Linked DNA regions of Daphnia pulex. The protein of the gene in region 1 purifies or fractionates together with the protein of each later gene. This does not show direct contact. Links are inferred from orthologs where the notes say so. Each region holds a gene or a part of one and is shown on either strand. Other genes may lie near its edges. The genes, in order: valine--tRNA ligase-like, elongation factor 1-gamma-like, elongation factor 1-beta-like and elongation factor 1-delta-like.

Region 1 (6,944 bases):
TTCGCAGCTGTTGGATTCGACGAATCGCTCCGAACGGAACTGGCTGTAAGTCTCATTCCTTTTCCGCTGATGTAATTTCCCCTCATCATTTTTATTGTACTTATGGTTGGAAAATTTATCCCTCACAGGTGTATGGACGGAAAGGAATCAAAACGACGGTATAACCTTTTTTCTTGTTAGACATCGAAAATTGTTAATGAAGAATTTTATTTTATAGGTCGTATGTCCTTACCTCGTCAACACTCCACTTTTTGCGGGTGCCAAATCAAAGTACTGAGTATTAAAATCATCTATGTAAATTTAATACAAATAAAAAATGGAAATAATTTTTTTATCAAGGGTTGTACCCGCTTTGGAACCGGAAGACGTTGCGCAAGCAGTTATCAATTCCATTTTAACAGACGAAGAAGTGTGCGTCGTTCCGCGCTATGCCTCATTTTTAACGACGTTAAGAAAGTAAATCTGATGAAAGATACTTTTTTTTTCGAAGACCTTAGATTCATTACGGTAATAATTTATTTGATCCAATTTTTTTATGCAGAATGTTTCCAGTGAATGCCCAGCTCGTTGCTCACCGCGCACTGAGATTGGGGGAAGTGATGAACACTTTTGAAGTGGCCAAACCAAAACACAACTGAAAATACGTTTATGCAATTCATTAGTGATGTAAAAAACGTTACGGATATTTTGTAGAAAGATCTATTCTTTTGAACTATATTGATCGTATTTTCTTCTTCCTTTTTCCCCAATCCATACCAGCAGTTCTCCAACAAGTCAATCGATTACAGATCAAAAGTTATAGCGCGACTTCAGAGCAGCATTATTTGCCTGTACACATGATTATTGGACGTTATTGGACCGTACTTTTTAGTGTCCCATTTGTCAACTATTTCTAACAAGGAGTTTCCTATTTAATCCAAAAACTACAGACTAGGAAGCAGGGAATTAGTGCTCGTTCGGAAATCCCTTGATGGAGGAAGGAGTTTATAAAAAAATCGATAAGATTTCATAAGACGCTAACCATGGGGCATCAGGGAAATATGTTGGGCTTCATATTTTTGAAGAAGGGAGTTGTGTTTCGATGGGTTTCGTATTGTAAGGATTGCACATGCGCAGCTGTATTTTATTCATGTGCTCGGACTCAAGGACATCTTATAGCATTCGATAATGCTCGAGATAATTTCAGCCAAAGTTCAACAAACAGTGATGCATGGAGTTCAAAAGGATATCTACGGGTAGAATTTCAGTGGAGCAGAAAAATCTTGTTGTATACACTGTCTTGGCGAGCCTTGTCTAGTGAGCAACGACAGTTCCGAATATCCTACAATGGGCGCCTTTACGGATGTAGCTTATAACGTGGTTATGATATTTTACTACATCATTAAAGCAGTTGTAGTGCCTTGGATTCCCATCAAGTATCGTTCGAAAGACATTTCTGGACAAATTGCCCTTGTCACCGGGGCCGGTGGCGGAATTGGTCGACTGTTGGCCATTGGTCTATCGAACGAGGGATGTAAAGTTGTGTGCTGGGATGTAGCCAAGCAAGGTAATGTGATTTGCATAACTATAACGTAATCGTCACTAAAGTGGATTTTAATTTTTCATTCTTGTTACTTACAATTTCATAGCGAATGAGGAGACCGTTCGATTGATTCACATGTCGAAAGGACAAGCTTTTGCCTATCAAGTTGACTTGAGTAAACGTGAAGAGGTTTACCAAATGGCCCAGCGGGTAAAACGAGAAGTCGGAAAGGTAACATTGCAGAAATTACAGAAACGTTACAGATTTTATTTTAATAATTATTTTTGATAAGGTTTCTATTTTGGTGAATAACGCTGGTGTAGTTTCGGGTAAAGTTCTTCTCGATTGCTCGGACGAACAGATTCAGCGGACTTTTGACGTTAACGTTCTAGCTCATTTTTGGGTTAGTTATTTATTATTGTGGATGCAAATACTTTTCGTGACTTATTTTTGACATTTTTTATTCAGACTGTCAAAAGTTTCCTACCTGATATGATCATGCAAGATATGGGTCATATTGTTACCGTCGCCAGTTTAGCTGGTCTAACCGGAAGTGACCGATTGGTGGATTACTGTTCTTCCAAATTCGCAGCTGTCGGTTTCGACGAATCGCTCCGGACGGAACTGGCTGTAAGCTTTTTGGTTCATCATTTTTCATTTTAATGTTGCACTGTATACTTATTTTTCCAAAAATTTATGTCTCATAGATTGATGGACGGAAAGGAATCAAAACGACGGTATAACCTTTTTTCTTGTTGGATATCGAAAATGTTTTCACGGTGAATTGAATTTATAGGTTGTATGTCCGTATCTCGTCAATACTCCACTTTTCGCGGGAGCCAAATCAAAGTACTGAGCATTAAAATCACGCATTCAATGCACATGAATAAAAAGAACAATTTTTTCAAATCAAGGTTTTTACCCGCTTTGGAACCGGAGGACGTAGCGCAAGCAGCTATCAATTCCATTTTAACAGACGAAGAAATGTGCGTCGTTCCGCGCTATATCTCTTGTTTAATGATTTTAAAAAGGTAAATCTGATAAACGCTAATTCGATTTGTGGTTCTTCTCCAGAAAATTCATTGCAATGATTTTATCCTATTTTTGTCACAGATTTTTACCGGTGAAAGCTCAAATTGCTTCTCACCGCGCTTTGGGACTGGGTGAAATGATGAACAATTTTGAAGTTGCCAAACCAAAACACAACTGAAAATTAAATTGCACGAAATTAGTGATAACGGTTATACGGATATTATGTGGAAAGATCTTTTCTTTTGTACCGTTAATCGTATTTCCTTAATTTTTTTCCTTTAATAAAAATGCAAATACACCGTTACTATAATTATCTGCGTACTTCTATGACTTTCTTGTCCTAACATAATGTTGCCCTGCTGTAATTGAATTTATTACGACGTTCACCGAGAATCACAAGTTATGCATAAAAACATAAGATTAAACTTGTTTATTCTTTTAGTATAAATTGGATGCCTCTGAGAGATTTCATTCCACACATTTGGTAAAACGAACTTAGGTCGTTTTGAGTATTTGTATAATCTCTTCAATTCTGTATTAGAATGTCGGAAATATCCGTTCATGAATTGCGGCGTGGACTGTTCAGTACACATTCGAAGTTGCTAGAAAATTGAGAGAGAGAGATTAGAATTACATCCCACCGACCAAACATTTCAAGAAAATTCATCGATCAAGAAAATCACTAAATTTACCCCAAATTTACCCTGGAATCGGATGACTACCTCAACTTGATTCCCGGATTGCAAAAAACCCTTTTTTCAATCTCTTCTGGCTTCTCCGTTTTTTATACAAAATGTCCAGGATTTACAAAAACAAAAAAAAATTTAAGAAACAATGCTCTATTATTTTCCTAGGAAGGAAAAAACAAAACCTATGCGAATGGATTGTGTGCGTATATTCTGCCCTTGTTTACTTGTTAATTATTATTTCTCTGTGGTCTCCTTATTGGAAAGGGTTTCACCGTCGAATGACTCGCGCCCCGTGTGGCCGTGTGTGTGTTTGTCTACTTTTTCTTTGTTGGATTTCGTTAAGTGTCACATGGAAAGATGCGGCTGGATTAGTAAGAATAAAAAGGCCCAATTACTGAAGATGATGGAACTCTAAATTTAAAAAATGTGAGTGAGCGCGCGAGCCTGTGAATATACTTTGAGCCCGCCCCCTTTGACTCTCTATTTCTCCTTTGATCACAAACGATATTGTAATAATATCCTAATTCTTGTTGGCATTGCCCACGCTGCGTCTTCACCTTACTATTTTGATTCAGCAACTAAAATCGAGTCAAGATACTAATAAGAACTAAAAAGAGTCACAGATGGTTTCAAACAATGATCCTGTAATTATTGCTTAGTAAACAAAACCCAATTGCTTTATAGGAATAAAAATCTAAAAAAGACGTTAGAAGTGCTTCAAATGTGTATTGATTCCCTACACATTGATTGCAACAACGGCCCCCAAATCCCAAATTATCCAAATTTAATCCATAGTGGAAAGAGTTGCGAAGGCGGCGTCAAGTTGCTGCAACTCGGTTTCAAGTTCAACCTCTTTCTCCTTGTTGGTCTCCTGAACAGTGAGAGGGACTTTTTCTGTATAGTTTGGAACTACCATGCCTTCTTGGAGCTTGTCCAATTGTTGGCGTTTCTTCTCCACTAGGCCAGTGATGCGTGTCTTTTCTTTTTGCACGTCAATCAGACCCTCCAAATGAACGATGGCGTCACACTTGTCTGAAACGGTTACAATAGCACAGCCACGTGTGTTACCTCCGTCTGTCGAGACGGAAACGGGTTGACAGAAGGACAACGTGGAAATATTGCCCGTGAAATGAGTAAGCATGTCAACCACCTGTCAGAATCCAATCAAATGGTTAAGTAGAGCATATAACCAATGGTTGAACTAAATTACCTCTTGATCCGAACATCTTAAAACCAACTTAGTTTTCGTCTTGTTTGGTAGCATGTAGCTGGCTCGGACAGACCGAACGCTGGACACGATTCGGCTAACCAATTTCACGTTTTCTTCCAATTCTTCATCTTTCCAGACTTGAAACTCGGCGTCAGTCGGGTAAGGAGCGATACAAATACTCGGCGGGAGAGTTTCTATTGAATAGAGTAACAGATAATCATGTGAATTGTTTAAAAACAACATTTTTAAATAACTTACTCTGCACGGATTCAGGGCGGGGTAGTCGCTGCCACAGCTCTTCCGAAATGAACGGCATAAACGGCGAGATTAACTTGAGTCCGGTGTCGATACAAGTGACGAGAACCGAACGAGCCGCAGACTTTGCAGACTCGTCTGAACCTTGGAAAACAGGTTTGACAGCTTCCTGTAAAACAAATGAATATATATCAGTTAAACAATTCGGTTTGGTAATACACAACTGAAGAATATCTCACCAGGTAAACGTCGCACAATTCATAAAGGAAAAAGTTGTAAATTGCGCTGGTGGCACGGGGGAAATCGTATTGTTGAAATCCCGCATTACAGGCCGAAACGGCAGTGGACAGGCAGCTCAAGATCCATTTATCCATCAAACTTAGTTGAACCTATAAGAAAAACAATTTTAATAAATAACTGACATGTAAAACTAAGTCAATCAATGCATGCTCGTGCCAGGAGCGGATGGGGTGTGGGTCAACTAAAATAAGATGCAAGATAGAGGTTGCAACGTGCAAGGTATCATCTCTTGCCTGCTTCCTCAAGCGGCCGATATGTTGGAACCATCTCTCCAAGTGAGGATAACTTGACGGGATCTTCCTTTGTCCCAGCCCGGCATCCAGTTGCCGCCAGACTAGATCGTCTTCAGCAGAGTACTGACAACCGCTGAAATAGGAAACGTGTTCGAGCCGAGCATTCAGACCGGCAAGAAAAGCCGGAGTGATGGACGGACGGGAAATCATTGGACGATTACTTGCCTCGTTTAGTGTCTGAATTTCGGAACCCTGAAGATAGGTCAAAGCAAATCGGGTGGCGTTCCAAAGCTTGTTGCAGAAAAATCGGTATCCTTGAACACGTTTGACATCCAAGTTGATATCTCTGCCCTGTGCAGTGTACTGGCACAAAGCGAAGCGCAGAGCATCCGTTCCACATTCGGGTATGCCTTGTGGGTAGTCTTGCTTCTGACCCTCTTTGGCTCTTCCAACTTCAGCTGGATCGAGATTGCTGCCATCCAACTGAGCCATGAGTCCTTCGAGGCTGATTCCGTAAATGACATCAAGAGGATCGATGACGTTGCCCAATGATTTTGACATTTTGCGACCATGGGCGTCGCGGACCATGGCGTGAAGATACACTTCAGAGAAGGGAAGTTTTCCCATCAGCTTCTGTCCAAAAAACACCATTCTTGCAACCCAAAAGAAGAGAATATCATGGCCTGTTTCTAACAAAGTAGTTGGGAAAAACACGTCCAGTTCATCCGTCTGAAATTAGAAAAGAAATTATTGAGTTGTTCTGTGTCATATTACTAGAAAACAAACGAACCTTGTCAGGCCAACCAAACACGGAGAATGGGAAAAGAGCAGATGAAAACCAAGTATCAAGAACATCTTGATCCTGTTTGAGAATGATTTTTTCTTCGGGAACGTTGAACCGCTTAGCAGCGTTAGTTCTGGCTTCGGCTTCTGTACGCCCAGACACCCAGAACTCATTGTCAGCTTCGTCTCCTACTTTGGCGGATGGCTCGTCTATGGTGACGAAGTAGGCTGGGATACGGTGACCCCACCAAAGCTGTCGAGAAATACACCAGTCTCGGATGTTGTCCATCCAGCTGAACCACGTTTTCTGGTGCATCTCCGGCACGACTTTGAGCTTCCCAGATCGGACAGCTTCAGCTGCATCAGCTGCCATTTGGTCGCATTTGACATACCACTGAGGCTTGATCATGGGTTCCACAATGTCCTTGGAACGAGAGCAGACAGGAACCACCATAGGATTATCTGCCGTACCGCGGTACTGTCCAACTTGCTCCAACGCCTCAAGGACGGCTTTGCGTGCGTCGAAACGCTTCATACCGGTGAATTGGCCGCAATCTCCAATGATCTGCCCATCATCGCTGAAGATCGTAATCATGGCAAGATTATGTCTCTTACCCAGGTCGTAATCGTTAGGATCATGAGCAGGTGTAATCTTGACAGCACCTAGAAATATGCAAAGTATTAATTTCCTGTAAACTCAGTCGAGGCGAGGCTTGTAATAAAATTACCTGTTCCGAAATCCTTGTCGACATAGTCGTCAGCTACAATGAGTAGCTTACGTTGGCAGAAGGGATGCAGGGCATATTTACCCACCAGATGGGTATAGCGCGGATCTTGCGGATGTACAGCAATACCCGTATCGCCCAACATGGTTTCCACACGAGTGGTGGCAACAACAATTTCTTCATCGGACCCATCGA
Region 2 (8,719 bases), on another chromosome or scaffold:
CACTTAATAAAATTTACGCAACGTAATTATTATTATTGGGACTTGACAACTTGATTACTTTTAGTACAGACTCTAGCCAATTGTAAGAATCAAACCCGAGAGACTCACGAAAATAATATTGAAGTTATAAAGGAATGTAATAAACCGAAGAAAAGCAACATTACATGGAGTAAACAATAATCATACGGTCGATTGTTAGTTGTTTAGTGCAGGTTTTGTTGCAGAAATTTCCTTCTCAACTCGAATTTCCGTAATAACGGGTAGGATGACAGGTTTGGCCTCCACTCTGTGTATTCACTAGACGATTATTTTGCGCCTGAAAATATAAATGGAATGAGTACTCTCCATGAATAAACGAGTAAAAATTACTTATATATTAAATGTTGTTGGAGAGGTAATTCGAAACAGTTCTAAATTGACAACCCAGCTGCCTGTAATACCAATCGAAATCAAATGTTTGATCTCAGCTTTCGTACATCAAATAAATTAAAATTTAGAATACAATCCCCGACACACTGATCATTATATATAATGCAAATCAATTTTATTGACTGGCTCATTGTAAATGACATAAATCAAGATCAATCGATTCGATTTGGTCATTATTAAGCTGGAAACAGACTCGATCATTTAAACACATGGCGAACAGACGGGGAATTTATTTTCACTTACATTGGAAGCAGGTATAGCAGAGTGATAGCCAGCTGAGGTCGGAGGTCGTAACGGGTTTCCTGTTATGATGCTACCGCTCTTCGATGCATGGTTTTGCTGCTGAATAGGAATTCCAGAAGGATGTGAGGCACCAGGTAACGAAATTGGAGTTAACAACCCAGTATGAGGCCGCAACCCTCCTGCCGAAACAGAATTGACATTCGTGGATACATTTGGACTAGAACCAAGAGAAGGAGAAATGAAAATCTTCTCTTGTTCGGTAGTTCCGTAAGCATTAGAATTTTTGTTTATCATATGTTCAATTGGCTGGTGATATCCTTGAATTGCATTTAAAAAAATAACAAACAGAAATTTAAATATTTGAAAAGAAAAAAAAAAAATAATTATTTTAAACCTTGATTCAAAGATGGGCCAGAATTTCTTGTTGGGATGCCTACAAATAAGTACAATAAAAATTTTCAGTAATCTCTTAAGTTATAATTCCAGAAATTATCAACATTAATTTTTCTTCTTCTTCTTGTTATCGCATGAATTACTTGAATAGCGTAATTTGCATTAAAATAAAAAAATTAGAATTGATCCATAAAAACTTACTTCTTTGAGCATTCTGAGATAGCACATTTCCTTGTCCTACATAAACAGTTGCATGGTGCTTACCATCATCTTTCGATGATGCGGGAGTCTGAACAGAATATGTTGGGCGAGAAGAACCCGAGTGGTTGGGATAGCTGTACATGGATCCTGGAGGAAGTTGGTAACCAGCACTGGCTGCGCTATGGGCAGCACTTACAGAAACTGAGTGAGTGTAAAAGATGCTGCCTGGAACTGCAGGGCTCCCTCCATAGGGACTACCTATACTCTCTAGAAAAGAAAGTAAACAATAAATAAATCAGTATAGTGCTCACCAAGAATGATTTATACTTGAATTGTATGGGGAAAGGGCTGGTGGCTTGTAAGAATGATACAGCTGTGGTGGTGGTGGGGATGGACTACGAGGTCTCTTCTGATTTGTTTGACTTTGATGTCCAAGAGAAGGAACCATATTGATTGCTTGTCCATAAAGTGATGAAGGAGGCACTCCTTGCAAATTCAAAATGCTTTCTTCCTTCCCTCCATTAAATACTGGCCTTGAAGCCCCAAGATTAGGATGCATGTACACAGAACCATGGGTGTTTGGATGCACTAATGGAGCTCCAGATGGATAGGGATGAAACAGCATCATATCACTGCTAATGAAAAATATTTGAGTTTCTAATCTAATTCATATGGACAAAAATTTCATAGGATATTGATCACTCTTGATATGAACACTGGTAGGGAAAATTTTACCAAATTAAACTTTTAGTGTCCATTTACTATTTACACACTTCCTAGGATATTTCAGCATGAATATTGTCTTCTTATTCTATGCTAAGAATGAATTTTAAAAGAAAAAATAGATAGCATACTTGAAACTGGATTCTTTGATTTTTCTTCTCGTATCATCCTCATTTAGAACTTTTTTGAGTTGCAGAAATAATTGATGCTTATCCTCTTTCAGTTGAGAAAGCCTGGATTCTGACTGAGCAACTTGTTCCTTAGTTTCTTCTAAAGTCATCTCTTGTTCTTTTTGCTGATCTTCTCTTTCTCTTCGCTGTCGCTCGACCTCAGCATCAGCTTCTTGTTCTGTTTAAGAGTAAATGAGTTACAGAGCACAATTGAAACATTAACACAATTATTGTGGAGCTTCATCATAACAACCTTGCTTTTTCCTTTGTCTCTCTCTGATTATGTGTGATTTTAATGAATTCCACATAGGTCTGCTGAGTTTCGGCTTTTCTAAAACAATGGCGGGCATTTTGTTTACTTTCTACACTAACGCTCCGACTTCAGATGAATGCACTGAGTTAATTATTTGAAAATATTTGAATTGTTTGGTTTGAAGTCCTTTCTTGACTCGCGTAAAACTGTTCTTTTTAACACAGTTTGAGCTTGATACACTTCTTGTCTTCGTGCTAAGTCCATGAAGTACCGACTACCGAAGTACCGAAGTACCACCGAGACCGAACTACCGAAGTACACCTTCCTGCTAAGTGCTGCTAAGACAGTTGATGCTTTCATGGATTCTCAGTTTCTCCCCAAAGATGTCGTGGCACGACCGGCAGCCTATAGAAGTCAGGTAGCCTTTGATCTCTAGAAGACAAGAAGAGCATGAGTAAACGTAAAAAAACCATAGTTCTGTTCCGTCGGTTCCAGGTCGGTCTAGCGGCGATTCTAGTGTCGCATTCTAGTGTTTGCATTTTAAAGTTCTAGCTCTATTCCGTTTTAAGTATCCACTTTCCACCTCCACATTCCACTTCCACATTCCACATTCCACTTTCCACATCCTAACTGCAACTCTGCAAGAGTGGCCCGCAAGGCAGACCAACAAAGGGCTGCGCGCTTAACAGCGTTGCCATGTAGAAATTTTCAACTATTCTCACGTTTGAGCTCGTTCTCTCTTGCAGCAGACTTCTTCTTGGTTCCACGTCAGGTTCTCGTCCCTGCATTTGATCATCATGGCTTCTGGAGTAAGTACGATCTGTGTTTGAATCTAAGAAATTCCGTGACATCTTCTTGTGTTTTAAAGCGTGATTCTGTTGTCCAATATCTAATTAATCGGGTTTTTTTAATTTTAGACTTTGTACACTTACCCAAGCAACTTCAGGGCCAATAAGGCTTTGATTGCTGCTCAATACTCTGGTTTCAAAATAAATGTCGCTTCCAACTTCGTCTTCGGCGAGACCAACAAGAGTGAAACTTTTTTGAAGAAATTTCCGTTGGGAAAGGTAATTTTCTTTATGCGGTTCATTTTCATGGTGGAAAGTTTTAAGTCTATGTGATTGTATTGATAGGTTCCAGCTTTTGAATCCCAAGATGGGCAGTGCATTGCTGAGAGCAATGCAATTGCATATTTCGGTAAATATTACTACTAAAATAGTATTCCTCTGGAATTGAGATGTAATGAGTGTTATTGAACAGTTGCCAACCAGCAGCTTCGAGGAAACAGTGACGTGGAAAAGGCCCAAGTCCTTCAGTGGATGTCATTTGCCGACAGTGAAATTCTTCCACTGTCCTGTACTATTGTTTTCCCTGTCCTTGGAATCATTCAGTACAACAAACAAGTATGTTTCTTATTTTAGTTTATTTGTGCAAAGCTAATTTTATATGTACAATGTTAATTGGTGTATTGTTTGTATAGGCTGTTGAACATGCTAAAGAAGAATTGAAGGCTATTTTGTCTGTCGTCAACAACCACCTTCTTACACGCACCTTTTTGGTTGGAGAGAAAATAACTCTTGCAGATATTGTTCTTTCTAGCAATCTTCTCCACCTTTATGAGAGCATTTGTGATGAAACTAACAGGAAGCCTTATCAAAATTTGAATAGATGGTTTATTACTTGTGTTAACCAACCACAATTCAAAGCCATCATTGGAGACTTTAAGATATGCCAGAAAGAGTGTCCAGTTGATCCCAAGAAGTTTGCTGAATTTCAGAGTAAGAAAATTCTAAACATTTAATTCATTGCCATTTTTATCCAATGTGTCAACAGGTAAAATAACTGGATCTCTGAAAAAGGAAGAAAAGAAATCTGTCAAGGATGAAAAGAAGAAAGAGAAAAAAGAAGAGAAACCAAAGCCAAAGAAGGAAGAGCCAGAAGAGGCTGAGGAAATGGATGCAGCTGATGCAGCCCTATTAGAGGAACCCAAGTCCAAGGATCCATTTGATGAAATGCCCAAAGGAACATTCAACATGGATGATTTCAAAAGATTTTATTCTAACAATGAAGAGTCAAAATCCATCCCTTATTTCTGGGACAAATTCGACAAGGAAAATTATTCTATCTGGTTTGGAGAGTACAAATACTCTGATGAACTTACCAAAGTCTTCATGTCTTGCAATTTAATCTCTGGTATATTCCACAATTTTTTTTTTTTTTTTTTGTTTTCAAAGAAGAAATCCCATAATATTCACATTTTTTAATAGGCATGTATCAACGTTTGGATAAAATGAGGAAACAATGCTTTGCATCCATGTGCTTATTTGGAACAGACAATGATTGTACCATTTCAGGAATTTGGGTGTGGCGTGGGCAAGATTTAGCTTTCCAGGTAAGATGGTTTACAATGATGTTACCTCTTTCAAAGACACAAATATTTTTTGTTTTCGATATTTTGTGTAACAAGTAGAGGGAAAGTAATAAGACTTACCTGTTTTTAAGCTTAGCTTTGCTTGAAGTAATGGATCTAAGTTTTAACAATATTTTTTGTTTAGTTGTGTCCTGATTGGCAGATTGACTACGAGACATACGACTGGAAGAAATTGAACCCTGATTCAGATGAAACCAAGAAGATGGTGGCGGAGTATTTTGCCTGGTCCGGCACTGATAAAAATGGTCGTCCTTTCAACCAGGGAAAGATTTTCAAGTAGTTTGGTATCTATACTCGTGGAGTGTTGTATCACAACCATTATCAATACAACTGATGAGCTACTTGATATGTTGGAGTTCATTCAGACTTACATTAAATTGTTTTAGCTTGCTGATTTAAGAATATATTGCTTAATCCCCTCTTTGATTCTCCATTGGGGTCACAGACCATTTTATTACACTCCCCTTTGATGAGTTGCAAGTCACGCTCATGTTAATAACTTCAAAGCAGTATTTATACATCTCAAAGCGTTTTGAACAATAATTTGCGTGGTTTGGTATACCAATTATCAAACAAAATTTAGAATTTGTTATGAACGAGAAAATGGTGCACAAAAGCTTTTTACAAAAAAAGGCGGATTAACATACAACAGAGCACCAGGTTCTCCGACTTTCCAAGCTGATGGATCGATTTCACAGGCGAAATAGGAATAATCAACAGTAGTGCCTCTAGTGCTCGATTACACCAACAATTTGGCTAACTATTTTATACTCAAGTGATCCAAGCTCTAAGCCCAGCTACAAAGTGTTTATTGGTTCGCTTGGTCATTAAGACGAGCTGTGATCATGTTGACAAACCCTAACGTTTTTACCATAATATTTTTTAATTTCCTTTTTATCTATAAAATTATTCATACGATTCAGCATTCTTAACTGCATGATATAACAAAATTCCCACCGTGAAGGGTAATTTGTGACACTTAAAAGAAAAACCTATCATACAGATCAGCCTGAAAACGCCTGTAAAATACGGAACGCCAAATAGAATTGGCTAACGTCCGAAGTTGCCAATTCGACTTGGACGAATGATCGATTGGACGGTTACGGTTGACGTCCAATTTTTGGATTTTGGACGTCAACCGTCCAATCGTCAACGTCCAACGAACTGGCAACTTCGGACGTTAACCAACTCTATGATCCCCTATAATTATACTAGTGCCAGAGCTGCTAGTGCTATTTATTTTAGAAATCAATTGAACATGGTGTATTATTATTATTTTTCCCCTCTTTTCACCCTTTTCGTCTTTCGCCTTTGGGCCCTAAGGGCAAAAGAGGGGATATAGGCAGCACGAAAAAGGGGGAAAAAGAGCAAAATAGGGTCTTTGGCTCTTTGCATGAAATTTAAATTTGTTTAAAACATACTTGGTTAGAATCAGTTTTTTACGCTGATTCTCATGGTATTTTTTAAATATTTTTAAAATGAACCTATCTATGTGTATTTCTAATTCAAAGTTCAAATAAGCGCCTCCCATTTCAAAACGGGCCCTCAGCCATTTTTTAGGGGCGGAGCTTAATTTCTGATAAATTTGTAGACGACGCTCACCAACATCACCAAAATCACCCTTGAGAAATCGGAAGTCCAAAAAGGACTTTTTTTGCCAATCAATAATTAGAAAGCTATACATTGCTTTAAATTGGCATTTTTAAAATTAATCGGGCATTATCTTGTTTATTTAATGGCAAAAGCCTCTAATTTTTAAGTATTATAGTTTAATGGAAAAACTTAATTTTGTCACGGCCGCTTAGCCATAAGGCACCATGTAAACCACGGCTGCCGCGCGGCTGAAAAAAATTTGACCGTCTGTCACTATTAATTTCATAAATAATCTATTTTACACGTGATGTTGAATTGTTGATGAAAATTTGATAACTTATAAAGTAAAAGACGTGAACACGAGGAAATTTTTTAAACAATTTTTTTATAATTAGAAGTACCATATTTTTTCGAAAATAAAAAAAATTTAATATAAAATGTTTTTTTAACAGAAATATTTAATATTTTCACGGAGGGTTTTGGATGTAACATCTTAAACACTACAATAATAAAGCTCATTTAAAAAATTTCATGTTGAATTTTGTTCGAGGTTAAAAATTAATTACCCTCGACTATACAGAAATGTTCGACACACCAGCACGGATTTGATAGAGGTGGATGGTCTAGTCTTTTATGGGAATAAATTGGTTTTTCCGGTATCCTTGAGCGAGGCCATGGAATGCGTCTTTTTTGGACATTTTTGTGAAGTAAAATGTGTCAGGCGGGCCAAGTCGTCCGTATACTAGTCGTCCGACCACATCCGTAACATGTTGCCCAGCTGCTCCACCTGTCAGTAGAACTGACAAACAAACCCTACTTTGCCCTAGTTTCCCGTCAGTCTTCCATTTCATTCATTTCAAATGGTGCTGTGTCGCACAGCTGCGGTACAGTATGGTCCAAAAAAATCCGAACAACCTAAAAGCCACCTATCAGTCATGCGGGAACTATGTTAGGCTTTTTGGTCCTAATTGTGGGGGGCTAGGAACAAAGCGAAAGGTGGGAAGAAGGAAAAAGGAGTAATAGGCTCATTTAGCCACTGGTCATGCCTTTCCCCCCAAAAAAAAATCATGAACGAAACCAGACAGGCTGTCTGGAATTTCCTTTGCAGGTAAAAACGAATAACCGCATTGCAATAGCCTTAGGCCTTAGGCCCTAGGCTCACCGTCAATACTGTAGGCAGCGTACGTACGCCGCAAGGTACCCGAAGGGAATGTTAAGGGTATACTAGTTGGTATAGTAGTATTGCTGTATTGGTATAGTTTTATAAAGGCAGAGCTATAGAATAGTTATAGAATAATAATAATATTCTGTTATAAAGGTAGGCCTATTATTAAGATTAATTAATAATATTTAAAACAAAAATGTTATGCCCTTAGTTTCCGGAGAAATTTAATATGCAGAAATCGAGAAAGAGATGAAAAGCATATTTCCGCATGTTTCTATCCAAACATTAAATACAAATTCAATTCCAAAAAACCTAATATGATATGGCGCGGCGTAAGGGTAAGGCGTGACTTTGGTGCGGCGGAGGCTTCGCCCCGCCACCCCACGTCACACCGGATCTTGTTAAAATTAAATGTAAGTAACTACCTATCAGCACTTCTTTTACTGGAGATTGATAGCGTTTAAATGATAACATACAGTTACTTATATTCTATCGTACAATATTACTCCAACAGCTATAGTCGCTATAGTTAGTGATTACGAAATAATAACACTCGTTTTGAACTATAACCGACAGAGAACACAGTACTACTACTTTGACTATAAATTTTATTTTATCATACGGGCTTCAAGTCGATTGTCACGTTACGTTTATATCCCTGTCAGCTGTCACATGTCTCTGTATTATCGTCTGCTGTAACAGCTATTGAAATTCTGTCAAAAAGTAACAAGAACTCCGTTTGATCAAACGCCTGAATCGATTGCAGCCAAATTTTCAAAATAGATGTAAAAAATTGTAAGCTACGGATTACTGCCATTGAAATGCAATTAAATTGTTGATTGCAATCAATAATTGCCAAAAACTAGTGCATCCATCTATATAGTGTTACGATAACTGCAAAAAGCCATCTGTGTAGTGTTACGAGAACTGAGGGTGCCCAATGTAAAAAAACCACATGTAAAAACCATACCAATGTAAACCATACTGCAAACGAAACTTTGACCAGTAACCCTTCGGGTAATTTCGTCAAGTGACAAGAAAAGGAAAAAGCTGTCCAAATCCTGCACCATAAAGCGGGAAAAATTCAAAGTTATAGTAAGGTGGCTTTGAATCACGTT
Region 3 (7,747 bases), on another chromosome or scaffold:
CTGCCTTGCCTTCCAGGATGCAATGAAGAAGAATCCTTGGAATCAAAAATCTTGAAAGGTTTGTTAAATAACAGTAGTCAGAACAGAATTATTACTTATATGTTAATATTTTGGATTATTACTTCTGAAACACAGAACTGTCTGGAATTCGTGATCAGGCCGGAGAAGTGTGCAAAAAGGAGCTGCATCCGAGCAATAGTCCATTGGTCATGTCTAAAAGTGGTTCAAAAGGATCATACATCAACATTTCTCAGATGATTGCCTGCGTAGGACAACAAGCTTTAAACGGCAAACGAGTGCCCAATGGTTTTGAAGATCGTAGTTTGCCTCATTTCAAGCGACATTCGAAAATCCCGGCTGCTAAAGGTTTTGTCTCCAACAGCTTTTACTCCGGACTTACTCCCACAGAATTTTTCTTCCACACGATGGGTGGGCGTGAAGGATTGGTGGACACAGCCGTAAAAACAGCTGAAACTGGGTAGGTTATTCGACATTGGCACTGAATGACTTCAATGATGTTATAAATTTTGTATTTTTTTAGTTACATGCAACGGCGACTAGTTAAATCGTTGGAAGACCTTTGTTGCCAGTACGATTCAACTGTGAGAAACTCCACTGGAGAGATTATTCAATTCGTTTATGGAGGTGATGGGCTAGATCCTACTTACATGGAAGCCAAAGATCGCCCTGTTGATTTCCAGCGAGCTCTTGACCATATCAAAGCCGCTTCCCCTTATCCGGATGAAGAACCTTTGGATGATATTGAACTGCAACAAGCGTTTAACACAATTATGGACACGGATTCTTTTAAAATGCTCGGAGTTGACTTTCAACATGAGCTCCGGTTACTATTATTTTCTTTAAATTCAATTGATATTCATGATAATGTGTTGCGTTTGTTGTACAGGGTTTTTGTTGAGAGCCAAGTCAAACGGATCAAAAAAGTACGGCAGCTTTTCAAAATGGAAGGTCGATCTTTACTTACAGTAGAAAAACACCTGGAGCGCATAACTGTTGGTCAGTTAGTGGAATTCTGCGACTTTTCTAAGGAAAAGTATGAACGGGCTAAAATTGAGCCAGGTACCGCCGTTGGAGCACTTTGCGCCCAGAGTATTGGAGAACCGGGTACTCAAATGACGCTCAAGACATTTCATTTTGCTGGTGTTGCTTCCATGAACATCACACAGGGAGTTCCTAGGTATTTTCCAATTCAGTGCCATTTTTGGAATTCATTTAATGACACTAGTTTCGTTTGATGGAATTATTTCAGGATTAAGGAAATTATTAATGCTTCAAAAGCAATCAGTACGCCAGTCATTTCTACTCAGCTTTTAAAAGATGATGACCCTGAGTATGCTCGACGAGTAAAAGGAAGGATAGAAAAGACCACACTGGGAGAAGTAAAAATGGAACATCTTAGGGTTTTAACTTCTTTAACAATTTTATTTTTATAGGTAACAGAATATTTCGAGGAAGTCTACTTACCCGATGATTGTTTCATGTTGATCAAATTGGACATGAATAGGATCCGATTGCTTAAATTAGAAGTGGACGCAAATTCGATTCAGTGGAGGCAATTTAATAATCTTTTCATTTTATTTAAATTTCTTAATTAATTTAATTGTTAATGTTCCAATTTCAGCCTCTGCACATGTAAGCTGAAAATAAAGCCTAGTTTCATTAAAGTCATAAGTGAAACCATCGTTATCGTCAAACCTGCTCCATCTTCGAAATCTTCGATGTATCACGTTATGCAACATCTCAAGGAAACGTTACCCAGAGTCGTCATCAAGGTGCGTGGTCGAGATTCGTATTTACAATTGTAAGGCATAAATATTTTCCATTACTTCAGGGTTTGCCAACTGTCAGTCGAGCTGTCATCAATATTGACGACACAAGAAAACCACCAAGATATTACCTACTTGTTGAAGGTGACAACATGCGGGAAGTGATGGCGACCTACGGTGTTAAAGGGACCTCAACTACATCAAACAATATTCTGGAAGTCTACAGTACCTTGGGAATTGAAGCTGCAAAGTAATTTAAATTGTTTCTTTATTTGTTAGATAAAAACTTATTTATTTATTGTTTAATTAATACAGGGCGACTATTGCCAAGGAAATTCAATACACAATGGAAAGCCACGGCATGAGTGTCGATCGCCGGCACGTTGCTCTTCTTTCAGATTTGATGAGTTGCCGTGGTGAAATTTTGGGCATCACGAGACATGGATTGGCAAAAATGAAAGAGTCGGTTCTGATGTTAGCTTCGGTAAGAAAAACACAAATAAATACAATATATTTTATCATTCCAATATTACTATTTGATTGCTAGTTCGAAAGGACCTCGGATCATCTATTTGATGCATCATACTACGGGCAGGAAGATGAGATTACGGGAGTAAGCGAATGCATCATCATGGGAATACCAATGTCAATCGGGACTGGGGCTTTTAAATTGCTGTACAAAACCGGAAAATCGGTTCCACCTAAAACAAGACCACTTATTTTTGATTTACCAGAATACCATGTACCAATGCTTTAAATGCGAGTCATGAGAGTGTACGAATGCGATCCAAGGGAGCAAGTCAAAAACAAGTTTGCATATTTTATCTTTCAAAATTGAAATTGTTGTGGTGACATGCGGATTACGCAGATATTTCAAACGGTATTCTCAGTTAAAATACACTGAACTTTTAAATTGCAGTTATTTTTTATCTAGTGTCTGTAGAATCTTAATTTTAATATTGGCAGCAGTATGTCAACATAATTTGATCAACAAATTTTGAGTTATTGGTCAGTAGCTTCAAAACACATCCAAAATTTGTAATAAGGTGGTACATGCTAAACCTAAGCACAAAGCTGCTGGTTAACTGGTATGCAGTTCACTCCTTGAAGCAAAAAGATTTTTTTTTAGTAATTGCTAATTTGCTAGTATAAACTACTAATAAATAATACTAACAGAAAGTTTGAGAATCCTCATGCTAAAATCAAATTCAAACATAAAAACTTTAAAGTCCTGATTTTTTAAAATGACTATTAATGCCACATGTGAGTTGTCAGTCACTAAATTTAAAAAATAATCCAAATAATCACAACCAATTGTGGCACCTTTACCTTTCTTTAGTCGTAATTTTAGCATACTAATCACTACAATTTTGTGTCTCAGTCATAAATTTAAAAATAATCCTTGGCCAATAAACATAGCCTACAAGAAACAAGAGTTACATAAACTTCCCTACCTTCTCTCAAAACTCCCTTTTCTTATGATGAAACATTTCAGGCACAACTTATCTAACAGATGAACTCACTAAATTTTCATGTAGTACGTTAGTACGACACTGAAGAACTAAACACATTTTTGGTCGAGACTACATCACGAAGCATGTAAACACAACACTGTTGCCAAGTTTCTGTAACTTAACTTCTCTTTTTAAAACAGCTGAGCTGATGAACACGTCTTAAACTCTTTATCAGGGATATGGAGAGAATTTCTCTCCATACCCCTGACTTAATTAAAAGGTTTAAAGCTAACTAAGAATTCTTCTTTCGTGTAATCGACATTCCCTTTAACCACATGAACTAGGCTTGAGCATTACGGAATCTATTCATAATATGATGGCAAATGAAGTGTACTATGAGTAACAACCCAGCATGTTTATTTCAATCAGCCAGTAATTGTGGAGCCAGGCACTTTGCACGATTAGCATTCAAAATATCTGATAACACGAGCCGGCTCAGCTCCGACACAATGATTTTATTTAAATTTTATTGAAAGCGGCAATATCGACTGATTGGACCAAATCTTCGAAGTTCTGAATTTCCTCTGTAAGCCAGTCAACAGAAACTTTGTCATCTTCAATGACGCATCCGATTTGGAGCTTCTTGATACCATATGCCAATGGTACAAATTTACCTGAATAAACAATACAGTTTTAATTGGCTGTAAAAAATGTGTTTCATTGAAAATACTTACACTGTCCCCAAATAAGACCATCACATGTGATGGTTTTTACAGCTTTCTCCATGGCTTCCATGTCTGTCTCATCATCCCAGGGTTTAACATCTAGGACAATTGAGGACTTGGGAATAAGCGCAGGTTTCTTGGATTTCTTTTCACTGTAGGCTTTAATTCTTTCTGCCTTGATCTTCTCAGCAGCCTCATCCTACAGCGGAAATTTCTGTTAATACTCATTAACTGAGGGATTTGCCTATGGTTAGTACCTCTTCGTCATCAGATCCAAACAAGTCAACATCATCATCATCATCATCGGCTGGTTTGCTGGCTGGGGCTGCAGCAGCAGATTTGGCACCTGGGAATTTGCTGGTTTCAGACCCAAATGATTTAATGTGGTTGTACCAGCGGAGAGCATGTGGGAAGCTGCTGGCAGGGGCCTTTCCTAAAGCTTGGAAGGTGGTCACGTCCGCCTGAGACGGTTCATATCTATACACAAGAATATAACATCGACATATTTTTAGATATAACGAAACGGAAAGCATGCTCAAGAAACAGTTCTATTGTACCCGGCAACACATACTTAAAATAAAGTGAAAAACTTACCCTTCAATGTAACTTCTATCGGCTAGGAATTCGTTAAGGGCCTTAACACCATTTTCAGTTTTAAGATCGCCGAAAGCCATGATTATTTTATCAGGTCTGAAAGGAAGAAACCGACTGAGGGTAGAAATTGACACGCGATTCGGCAATGGCAGACACCAAAGAGAGACGGTTACGTGTTGCCAGATAGCTAAATATTTTAGTTCGTTTGTCCACCGTCGTCCTAAATCCCCCAGGCAGTAAAAGGGAAGGGAAATGCGAATTTTTACGGGAAAATTCAAGGACACGTTAAAGTTTAATGCACTTTTAAAGCTATAACAATTAATTTTTAATTCAGAAATTTCATTACTGATTTGGAATGAAATCATATTTTCTATGAGCAATGTGCATTTTCAATTCGTTGTGCTTGCGCAAAACTTAATGACTGCATCAATTTTAATCTGAATTCTTAAGGTCATTTTATGATACCCTTTAGGAAGGGCTTGTTTTATTTTAATTGAAAAACGACCATTTGTTAGTAAAGTCCTTGTCCTGAGATTGGTTATTTTATCCAACTACACTAGAAATATTTTATGTAATTTGTTTCAAAATTTAACCGAATAAACGTCAGTTGTTAACTTTTACGTTCATTGCAATTTATTTAGCAATTTTTTATCGATGAATTCCAGATGATTCAACCCAAACTATACCCTTTACCTTCCTTCTCTTTCAAAAACATAGAAGGTTTTACAAAAAACTGTTCATGTATTTTTTTTTTTTTTTTTAGAAAGTAAGACTTTATAATGATTTACTACGAAAAAAAAACGACAGTAGTGTCTCCTATCACGAGTGATTCATACGTGTCCAATACTACGCTGTAGAGCTGATAATTGTGCCTTCCAGATCGATGAATGACTCAAGATTGAACAGCAGTAACATGATTACATAAACTGGGATGTCAAACAAGAGGAATGAAAATCTCCAAAATTACCGCTATACAACTTGACAACACCACTACAATCAAGAAGGTAAGTAACATGAAAGGTTGGAACAGAAATTGACTTGGATTTGGGACGTTACATCATTCCGCCCATACCTCCCATACCACCCATGCCTCCCATTCCGCCCATTCCTCCCATGCCGCCATCGGCCTTCTCTTCTTTGGGGATTTCACAAACAACACATTCTGCTGTTGTGAGGAGGGATGCAACTCCAGCGGCATCAGTAAGAGATGTTCGGACAACTTTAGTAGGGTCAATAATACCGCGTTCAATCATGTTGACGTACTCATTTCGGAGGGCATCATAACCAATGGAAGCTTCAGAGTCCATAACTTTAGAGACGACGACGGAAGCATCAACTCCAGCGTTTTTAGCAATAGTCATGCAAGGCATCCTCAAAGCGCGACGAATAATGTCGATGCCAACTTTTTGATCTTCATTTGCATAGGACAGCTTGTCCAAAATAGGAATACAGCGAAGTAGAGCAGTTCCGCCACCAGGAACGATACCCTCCTCAACGGCAGCTCGGGTGGCGCAGAGTGCATCGTTAACACGATCCTTTTTCTCGTTCACTTCAACTTCGCTTGATCCACCAATCTAAAGAATTAAAACATTAGAAAATGACCCGTGGAGCTTTATTGAGAGAATATTATACCTTAAGGACAGCAACTCCAGAGGCGAGTTTGGCTAACCTTTCCTGCAGCTTCTCCTTTTCGTATTCTGATGTTGTTTCGGCAATTTGATCCTTGATTTGGGTAACACGCTGGGCGATGTCTTCTTTGCGGCCTTTACCTCTCAACAACAGAGTGTCGTCTTTAGTAACAACCACTTCTCCAACCTGACCAAAGTCGTGCAGCTGAATATCTTCGAGCTTGACGAGATTTGCTTCATCACCAAAGACCAAGCCACCTGTAGCATTGGCCATATCGTGAAGCGTATTTTTGCGGTTGTCGCCAAATCCTGGGGCTTTAACTGCAACTACCTGGAGTCCAATCTTCAGTCTGAAAAACACTTTCGTTAATTTACAATTTCTTTAAAAAATGTAGGTAAGAAACTTTTACCTGTTAACAACAAGAGTGCTAAGAGCTTCGCCATCGATGTCTTCCGCAATAATGACTAGGGGTTTGCGGTGTTGATTGGCGAGTTCCAAAGCAGGAATGATGGATTGAATGGAAGAAATCTTCTTCTCACTCAACAAGACCAACGCATCTTGATATTCTACTTTAGCGCCCTTTGCTGTGTTAATAAAGTAGGGTGAAATGTAACCACGGTCGAATTTCATGCCTTCGATGACTTCAAGTTCATCAATCAAAGTTTTTCCATCTTTGACAGTAATGACTCCCTCTCGTCCAACTTTGTTCATTGCTTGAGAAATCAGTTTACCAACTGATTCATCACCATTAGCAGAAATGGTAGCAACCTGAACGAAAGGAATTCCAGTTAACATTAATTCAAAAATGAATTGTCTCATTAGTTACCTGAGCAATTTCTTCTGGAGTAGTAACCTGTTTGGACATGGCTCTCAAGTTTTCAATAACAGCATCAACAGCAAGCATGACACCACGACGAACTTCAACAGGATTGGCACCTTTTGTTATCTTTTCAAATCCTTCCTTAGCAATGGAGCGAGCCAAGACTGTTGCAGCAGTTGTTCCGTCACCAGCAGATTCATTTGTATTATTTGCTACGTCTTGAACTAACTTGGCCCCAATGTTTTGGAATTTGTCTTTCAATTCGATACCCTTTGCTACAGTAACACCATCCTTAGTGATTTTAGGTGAGCCCCATGATTGTTCTAGAATAACATTACGTCCCTGTAAATAGAAGCAACAAATTGTAAGTGGTAGTCCGAATTGAAGTGCAAATCTAATTTTGAAATTACCTTGGGACCCATGGTTACAGCAACTGCATCAGCAAGAACATCTACTCCCTGCAACATTAAGGCTCGTACATCAGCTCCAAATCGAACATCTTTAGCATAATTTCTGTATGCTTGAGGAGCGATCTGGCGAAGAGCTGCTGTTCTCAGAAGACTTGGTAGGCGATACATCTCTAAAGTAATAAAAAAAGTTACAGATCTGTTAGATAATGGATAACACGCTGCTAACGCTATGTACTGGTAACTTTTAACAGAAAAAAAGACTTAAATAATCCATATTTTAAGCCGGTAACACTGAGGAACTGACTATTGACATCTACTAATTTTAACA
Region 4 (7,983 bases), on another chromosome or scaffold:
AGTACTACCTGTAGTAAGGGGACGACCCCTGACCCCGTTGCCACCCTCCTCTTGGGGGGAGGCGCGTGGTCCGGCTCATGTTGTGGATCAGCCAACCGTACCGGCTCGTGTTGCGGATCAGCCGCCTGACCCAGATCGTGTTGTGGATCAGCCTGTCCCAATGCCGCCTTTTTTGGATTCAGATGATTCTTCCAGAGATGGAGATGTCGTCGGTAATTAATTTCAACGGTTTTTTGCTGCTCAAGAAGCCAACTTTATTAATCGACGAGCTCGTATCATGGCGAGATTTCAACAAAACCGCCGTCTACTCCTAGATGTCGATTCCGAAGATGAAGATAATTTGGCGGATGGAGAAGCAGCGGATAGAAACCTGGAAGTTCCCATTCAACTATTTCCCGAAGTAAATCACGAGGGTCTCTGCCCAGTGTGTTGGCTCCAAGTGCCTAACACAGTTATCACACCTTGCAGACACATTTTCTGCTTTATGTGTGTGGAAACATTTGAGTTGTCTAGGGCAACTAGATGCCTAGTCTGCCGCTCACGTTTCAATGGACATAGACCCGTGCCAGAAAATGATCGGAATGCCACTAATGTCCTATTGCATTTGGGTAATCAACCCTAGTTGAACAATTTCCATATCTGCTTCGACCAACCTGATGATCTAGACTACTGAATTATTTATTGCGTTTGATTGGATTAGTCGTGTAAAATTGCCTACTCTCTCATAAGAGGGGTTTGCTAATAGCCTACTAAACAAATGTTTACCTATAGCCAAACAGTTATATTTTCCCACAGGCAGTGCTTCCACTTCTAAAAAACAGGCGCCTCTAGAAGTTGCCAGATCAGGGGGAAAAACCCTAAAAACAAAATGAAAAATCCCCAGAAATATCCCTAAACACATTTTTTACTTTTTACCCAAAAATTCTTTAAAATCCCTGTAAATCGAGTAAATCCCCTTAAATTTCTACAAAACCAATTTTCACGCTGAAAATTTTCTATAACGCATGAAATTCTCTGTAATATTCAATTTAAAGACAAGTGTTACAATACAGAAAATTAAACAGAAAGGTTACAGATTAAAGACATTATTTCAGTTCTTTTTCGTGATAAAAAGAAGAGAAATCGGAATGGTAAAATACAAAGCTATCACGAGGTCAAAGGTATAAGTCAGTTTTTTTTTAATTCGGCATAAACATTGATTGGTACATTTGCTTCGTTTTTTTTCACAGCAGCAATTATGTCCTTTTTGATCACAGCAGTGCTTGCTGTTGCCATGGCAGATAGCCTTCTCTGTCTAGAGTGCCTAGACTAGACTTTCAATTTACAATTGACTAGATTAAATATGACGCGAAAAATCTTCCTACCTTAACCCGTTCTGTAGTTATACACCTTCAAAGTACTCTATTTTGCATGGAGCTCTATATTGAGTGTTCCCAAACTTTGGTATCCATTTTAAACCTACCCTTCCCTTGATAGGAAAAATCTGAAAAAAAATTCAGCTTAATGCTATCCATAATGGCTACGACCAAAAAAAAATTCGTCGTAATCCGACGAAAATTTCATTTTTGGGAACACCGAGAAAAAACGCCTTTCCCCATAAGGTTCTCTCTCGCGCACTCGCGCGTTCCCAAACTTTAGGTAGGTAGGCTACTGTTGGTATACCTCTAAATATATTTACTTATGACAATTTTTATTTGTGGCAAATAAGATATTTGAATTTTTTTACTTATGAGCAGAAAAATATTTTTTAAACTTATAAACGGAGTTACTTATGGGGATCCGTCATTCTGTCATGATCCCTTTCGTACTATTCGGGTGTATTGGTGTCGTTGTGTAGCAGCAGCGTTTAATAAATTGGATTCTATTTGATTTCCGTCGTGCCGTATATTTATATAGCGGATTTTTTTTTCGTAATCAGTTATGTGTAACACGGGTCAAAGAAAATTAAATAAAAATTATATATTTGTTATATTTTTATATCCATTTTACATAATGCGTTTGACATGTTATTCCTTATTCGGCCGTTATTCGGTGTGCTATGGTATGATGGTAGGCCTATGTCCAGCAGCAACGCCTAATATAATGACTATATAATCCTATTATTTCTTATTTTTTGAAATCATTCTCAATTCCAAATTCATAATAGTATCGTTGGTTATATTCAAATTCAAAGTCTTATTTCGTAGCGATCCCGATAACAACGGCCGCGACGATAATGTTCAAAGAGTAAAGAGTGGAATCCTTTCTTCAGCGGGGTCCTGATCCGTTGCTGCTCGATTTTGGAGAAACCGCATTGGTTTGCCGTGATGACCTTGCCGCTGGTCCGGTTCAAGCGGCAGCCGAAAACCAGGTCGTGGAACGTGTAGGTGAACAAGTGTTGAAGGAAGCGAACCCAGCCGTACTCGAAGTCGCCGGATGTGCTCCCATTCCAGTAGATATATTTGCCACCCTATATGCAATAAACATTTAATTGTAATTTAATATCATTCATAGTATATACGCTGAATCATCGCATTAACTTTTAAATTATCTTTGTGAAATTTCAAATTTGCAATAAAAAAAAAGATATTTTGCTAATTTTTTTTTAAACCTTCGGTTACATTTTTCAGGACCCAATCGCGGCTAAAACCTTGGACGGAACACGGAACGTATGTTTGATGCGACCAAGGAAGGCCCCACATGCCACATGCAAAAATCAGGTTTCTTGAGTACCGTACGGAAGACAAGGAAGCCCCCGGAAATTATGGACTTCTAGATCAGACACTGGCGATTATGCTGGTACCGGTATCCATGCCGATTATCTATGCTGTAGCAGAGTAATCCAGGAAGACTCTGGCTGTAGCCGCTGTAGCTGTAGTCTGTACGTATACACCATGTTTCAGTTTGAGTAATAACAATTTTCGCGGGCAATTTTCGCTTTATATATCTGCACTGTATTGTATATTTTAATAATTTTTTTTTTTTTTAAATATTACTGATTAATTGAAATGTTGAACCCTGTTGTCAATCATTTTTTAAATTAGAAAAGCAGAAAGATACAAATACAACTCTCAATAAAAAATTACAGCTTGGCATCGTTGTTTTCCTGCCTCAACGTGGAGCTCATTCTGCTCACCTAACTGCTCACTGCTCACTGTTCTGCTCAGCTGTCACCCCTCTTGGTTACTGAACGTTCGATCTTGCTCCATTGTATAACAGGTGACTAGAAATCAAAGAAGAAAATGTTTCGTTTATTCATTTATATGCCTTATTTTCGTATATTTTAGATTAAAAATGGTGAACAGCGCTGTAAATGAAGCATTGTCTCGCGAAACAGTCTGGTATGAGAAGTTTCGTTATGAAGATGCGGAACGTCAGTTCCAAGAAATCTTGGCAAAGGTATGTTAATTTTACCTTTTAGTTGAATATTTCTTAAATGTTTGAATCATCAAATTCAGGGTTCAACAGGACCAGCATCCTGTTCAGTTGTTGCTGAAATAATGAAAGCCAGGGATCAGATTAAAAGCTCACTTGCTGCTGTAAGTTCAACTATTTTTAACATGGTAATAGAAAATTGAAATTGATTTCATGTACAGGTTGAGGATTTACCTTCCTCTGGTTCTGCCATTCCATCTAATGTGACCAGTCGACTCCAACAACTGGAGCAGGAAAATAAAGATTTGAAAAAAGTTACCGATGATCTCCGTTCATTGGTGCTGAGTTTGGAGTCCAGGGTCAAGAGTTTGGAAAGCTCGAAACCTGGAGCAGCAGTTCAAGCACCAAAACCTAGTGCTCCTCAACCAGCACCTCCAGCTAAAGCAGCAGCAAAACCTGATGATGATGACGATGATGATGTTGATCTGTTTGGATCTGATGAAGAAGATGAGGATGCTGAAAGAATCAAACAGGAACGTGTTGCAGCATATGCTGCTAAAAAATCTACAAGTAATAGAATTGTCCATTTCATAATAATTGTATCTTACTACATTTATTTTTCATATTCCCTAACAGAACCTGCTCTGATTGCCAAATCCAACATCATTTTGGATGTTAAACCGTGGGATGACGAAACCGATATGGCTGAAATGGAGCGTCGTGTGCGTGAAATTACGTCCGATGGCCTCCTTTGGGGCACTTGTAAGTCAAATTAGTCAGTTTCGACACTATCCTCTGCAATGTTTAACTTTTATTTAATTTGCAGCCAAGTTGGTTCCACTGGCATATGGAATCAAGAAACTCCAGATTTCCACAGTCGTCGAAGATGATAAAGTGTCTGTTGACTGGCTGACTGAAACTATCCAAGAAATTGAAGATTTAGTCCAGTCTGTTGATATTGCTGCCTTTAACAAGATTTAAATTGTTTCAAGCAACATCACTGAGAAATCTGCAATTACTATTGCGTAACTTGTGGAAATAAAAAATAACAGCTTTAAGGGCATCAAACGGAAAGTTCTGCGAAATTTATTGTTTTAACCAACGTAGAGTAACTAAATGAGGTTGTAGGTAAAGGATGATGAAATTGTAAGACATTTAACAACCGAAACGTTGGAAGAATTGAACTCTAAGGAGAAAGGGGGTTACAACAAGGAGAATGAAATTGTAACTGTACAATTGCGCAGCTAGAATACAAATTAGAAATTCTGAGGATGGCCAGAATATGGGTTAACAAAAGGTTGTTGGCCCATATTAACCACTCCATAAGGCATTGGATTGGGGACTTGATTAGGAGGAAATGTAGCAGAATGGCTAACAGGTGGAGCAAATGGAGCTAAAGAAGGACTCTGTGGAGGTGCTTGAGGTTGAGGAAAAGGGTACTTCATGTTCCCGGATACATTCATGCCTCCGACAGGCCCAATGGGTGCAACGTTTGCGCCAGGATATTGGTAGCCAGGGACAGACATTCCCATGTTCATATTTGGATGGGTTTGGGGAGGCGCCGGCATTTCTCGCATAAGACTTCGATACATGTCCAGTGATTCAATCAAATGACTACCCAACTTGGTTAAGTGGGCGTGACGACGATCAAGTTTCTCCAGTTCAGCATCAATTAATGGGCCCATAGCGCCACATTGATCTATGAAAACCAAATATTTAGATAAACATTTTCACAACATCAGAACTTTGGTTTATATTGAAACTATAGAAATAATTATACCTTCTAGCATTTTCAACTCTTCCGGATCGTTGCGTTCCCCTGTAGGATCTGCTTCGTGAAGAGCATGAAGCATTCGATCAATTTTAGCTTCATCGATTTCGACTTCTGCTTCACTGCTGGCCGTCTCTTCGAGAGTGGCCACTACAACTTGCTCGTTAAACTGGACTCGCTTAGACGTGTCTCTTGCCACCATCACTTCTGGTTCAGCTTCCAAATCAGTCGACACGAAATTAGCCGGGAAAAGACCTTCTCCTCTTTGATTGGACCCCTTCCACCAATTAGGGTCTGAATCATCGATTACGTGAACTAAAAAGATTATGTTTAATTAGTCAGCAATACGGTTAAGTAAAAATATATTCAAAATTACTGATCTCCCCAGCTTTGAATGTCAACTCGTTATCTTCAGCAGCCTCAAAATCATATAATGCACGCACTTTACGTCGCTCCCGTTCTTTCACAGGTGAAATTGGGGCTGATGTCGTCATCGATGGATACAAGGACGAAGAAACTTTTGTGGTCACTTCTGCCTCTTTCAGTGACAGTGCAATTGCTACATAAAATATAAAATAGGATCAAATTATTGTTTAAGGTTCAAATTATTGTGAATTAAATTGGAATACCCTTTGCAATATCCTCCTCTTCTCTGGCTGCCACATCTTTATTGTTTACAACTGTTTTCTTAACCTGATAATTAAATCAAATTATTAATATCTTATAAAACTAACTAACCATGTAGTGCACTCACTGGTTCAGTTGTCTCTGTAAAATCAACACCTTCCTGCCTCAAACGATTATATAAAGCAGGTATAAGACTGAGTTGAGAATCGGTTTTGAAATCACCCTCTGCCCACTTCTTTAAACACTGTTTTAATTGGGAAGCTACTTGGGGGTGTAATTTATTTTTGATAAGCTTGTACAACTCTTGTTCGGAATCTCTTGACGCTATCTCTAAATGGAATGGTTTATGGCAGTTGCTCACACAGGCATCCAAAAGCTAAAAATTATTGAAAAATTAATTACCACATATTGAGAAATATATTTAAAAAAAAAAGCTTTACTTTGACAGCCTGCTTGGCAACATGTGGATTTTGATGATACAATCGTTTGATAATGGCTCTCAAACAATCTTTAGGTCCAGTAGTTATCGCTTTTACTTTGTCACAGACATCAAGAATTGTTTCCCAATTCTCACTCATATTCTTTTCATCGGTTGCCTTTTCTATAAGGGGTAAAGAATCGTGAGTAAAATTTCGATGAGGATGAAGCAATGCAAGAATACCAAATGAGGTATTCATTCAATTGCTTGTCCTATTTCTCAAATAACGTAAGTAAACGATGGCCTTACCGACATCCAGATCAAATGGCGAACTACCAGAAAAGATACCCATGGTAAAAATGACACTGTATTACTCGTACTGTGGGATAAACAATGAATAAGTAAAATAGGAAAACACGGAAATCGACTGATGAGTAATAAAGCAGAGATAATAAACCAGCAGCGCAAATCAAGTTAAGACGGATCTGTCATCCGGAGTGTCTTGGCGTTGCAAAGTTCCACCGCCAGGTGACTCTTTCCTCGATTGTTTTTTTGTTAGAAGAAAAAGTGAGAATTTACAAATTTTGAATGCAGATGGCTTTGTAAAATTTTGACCCCATGGTCGGCTCTCCTTAGTCGACATAAAAAGTCCAAAAGTCAGTTCGTCGTGCTTATTTACTAAGAAGCAGTCCTCTTGCTTTATTATAAGCCTTACACACTTGTACGTTCGCGGTGTTGATTTATCGGAACGTCTATTATCTTGGGTGAGTACACAAATTATGTCCTCTTGGCCCTTATGTCGGCTGCGCGATAATCATATGATTCCGTGGCGATAACAGTCGTTAATTGAGTGTATTTATTTCATTGATGGGTCCGTGGTCATTGACCTAACGATCTCTCGTGTTGAAGATGTGTGCCCCTGTGACCCCTCGACTCAAATGAGCAATTTTACCAACACCAAACCAGAGAAAGAATTCCGACAAGTTTAGCGCAGTTTTGGTCTGTAGTATATGTTAATTTAAAAAAGACGAAAAATTACATTTGAACGAAACCAGAAGGGTGGTCGAGAACCCGCTGTGCTCCACCGCGAGCGCATGTCGTCCTTGAGATTGAAAACTTGAAGTCTCCTCCTCCCCTGCTGAAGAAGAAAACAACACAAGAACAGCAGGACGGATAATACATATACTCTCTCAAGGTCGAACTCATTTTCGCCCTCGGGCAACCGATCGTAGTTGGATTTCTTTTTGCGCGGGTTCAAATTCGTGAGCGCGCGTCAGTTTGAAAATACGTTCAAAACCATTTTTGGCAATTTTCTTGGTAAAGATTAGAATATCCAGGACAAATACGGTAAATCAGGGTTTAGCGACAAATGAATTGGCACAGGTCAATATTTTTCATCAGAAGCCACTTGGAAATTACCGTATTTTTAAAAAAAGGTCATCGACCCTTGTTGCCCTTAAGAGGGGAAACCTGCAAATCGTGATGGATGCAATCATGGCGATGACCTCGCCAAGTTCCCCCCATGAAACAAAGAAGCGAAAAAATCCAGTTTTTCATCATCATCTTACGGAATTTTCATGTTTCAGTATTTTACCATTCAGATTATTCTATAATTTTTGTTTGCATTTGCATCGACAGAAAATGGGAGTGGCCTGGTGGAATCTGCAATCGCAACTGTTGGTGGCCATCCAGAAGGATGACGTCATGAGAGCCAAGGAACTCTTGGCAGATGGCGTTGACTGCGACGCACGATTCAATTTCGGCAGTCATCGGCGACCTGCACTTTGTCTTTGTGTCGAACGTGACAGTTTAG

What was found.
Region 2: the proteins of valine--tRNA ligase-like (region 1) and elongation factor 1-gamma-like purify together in Homo sapiens (affinity purification with mass spectrometry; 6 studies listed by BioGRID and IntAct, counting the BioPlex papers as one, with this or other methods). This does not show direct contact. The link is inferred for Daphnia pulex from reciprocal best matches to the Homo sapiens genes VARS1 and EEF1G.
Region 3: the proteins of valine--tRNA ligase-like (region 1) and elongation factor 1-beta-like fractionate together in Homo sapiens (co-fractionation; 3 studies listed by BioGRID, with this or other methods). This does not show direct contact. The link is inferred for Daphnia pulex from reciprocal best matches to the Homo sapiens genes VARS1 and EEF1B2.
Region 4: the proteins of valine--tRNA ligase-like (region 1) and elongation factor 1-delta-like purify together in Homo sapiens (affinity purification with mass spectrometry; 5 studies listed by BioGRID and IntAct, counting the BioPlex papers as one, with this or other methods). This does not show direct contact. The link is inferred for Daphnia pulex from reciprocal best matches to the Homo sapiens genes VARS1 and EEF1D.

What each region holds. Positions count from the first base shown.
Region 1 is NC_060025.1:7,156,050-7,162,993, reverse strand, and holds the end of valine--tRNA ligase-like, read right to left. Parts: coding exon 6,753-6,944; intron 6,688-6,752; coding exon 6,032-6,687; intron 5,971-6,031; coding exon 5,242-5,970; intron 5,098-5,241; coding exon 4,948-5,097; intron 4,878-4,947; coding exon 4,712-4,877; intron 4,648-4,711; coding exon 4,454-4,647; intron 4,394-4,453; coding exon 4,028-4,393; 3' UTR 3,950-4,027; downstream 1-3,949. Other genes in the region: short-chain dehydrogenase/reductase family 16C member 6-like, read left to right, coding at 1,327-1,546, 1,629-1,753, 1,815-1,925, 1,991-2,152, 2,230-2,259, 2,319-2,371, 2,437-2,553, 2,636-2,732. UniProt on the Homo sapiens protein: Catalyzes the attachment of valine to tRNA(Val).
Region 2 is NC_060020.1:8,827,220-8,835,938, forward strand, and holds elongation factor 1-gamma-like, read left to right. Parts: upstream 1-2,926; 5' UTR 2,927-3,209; coding exon 3,210-3,221; intron 3,222-3,329; coding exon 3,330-3,479; intron 3,480-3,545; coding exon 3,546-3,609; intron 3,610-3,672; coding exon 3,673-3,815; intron 3,816-3,892; coding exon 3,893-4,190; exon of another isoform or gene 4,191-4,245; coding exon 4,246-4,605; exon of another isoform or gene 4,606-4,679; coding exon 4,680-4,804; exon of another isoform or gene 4,805-4,831; intron 4,832-4,903; exon of another isoform or gene 4,904-4,967; coding exon 4,968-5,123; 3' UTR 5,124-5,189; downstream 5,190-8,719. Other genes in the region: uncharacterized protein LOC124193185, read right to left, coding at 236-316, 673-989, 1,067-1,105, 1,267-1,533, 1,594-1,901, 2,121-2,337, 2,413-2,509. UniProt on the Homo sapiens protein: Probably plays a role in anchoring the complex to other cellular components.
Region 3 is NC_060021.1:6,591,117-6,598,863, forward strand, and holds elongation factor 1-beta-like, read right to left. Parts: upstream 4,763-7,747; 5' UTR 4,641-4,762; coding exon 4,561-4,640; intron 4,444-4,560; coding exon 4,224-4,443; intron 4,166-4,223; coding exon 3,976-4,165; intron 3,916-3,975; coding exon 3,761-3,915; 3' UTR 3,642-3,760; downstream 1-3,641. Other genes in the region: DNA-directed RNA polymerase III subunit RPC1-like, read left to right, coding at 1-58, 136-478, 542-844, 908-1,198, 1,271-1,400, 1,455-1,573, 1,643-1,793, 1,853-2,037 and 2 more; heat shock protein 60A-like, read right to left, coding at 5,613-6,134, 6,193-6,538, 6,599-6,957, 7,016-7,351, 7,420-7,587. UniProt on the Homo sapiens protein: Catalytic subunit of the guanine nucleotide exchange factor (GEF) (eEF1B subcomplex) of the eukaryotic elongation factor 1 complex (eEF1).
Region 4 is NC_060024.1:3,940,349-3,948,331, forward strand, and holds elongation factor 1-delta-like, read left to right. Parts: upstream 1-3,056; 5' UTR 3,057-3,198; intron 3,199-3,266; 5' UTR 3,267-3,273; coding exon 3,274-3,378; intron 3,379-3,437; coding exon 3,438-3,518; intron 3,519-3,575; coding exon 3,576-3,924; intron 3,925-3,990; coding exon 3,991-4,116; intron 4,117-4,180; coding exon 4,181-4,335; 3' UTR 4,336-4,422; downstream 4,423-7,983. Other genes in the region: signal transducing adapter molecule 1-like, read right to left, coding at 4,611-5,053, 5,135-5,440, 5,502-5,684, 5,755-5,818, 5,880-6,128, 6,193-6,353, 6,480-6,522; ankyrin-3-like, read left to right, coding at 7,812-7,983.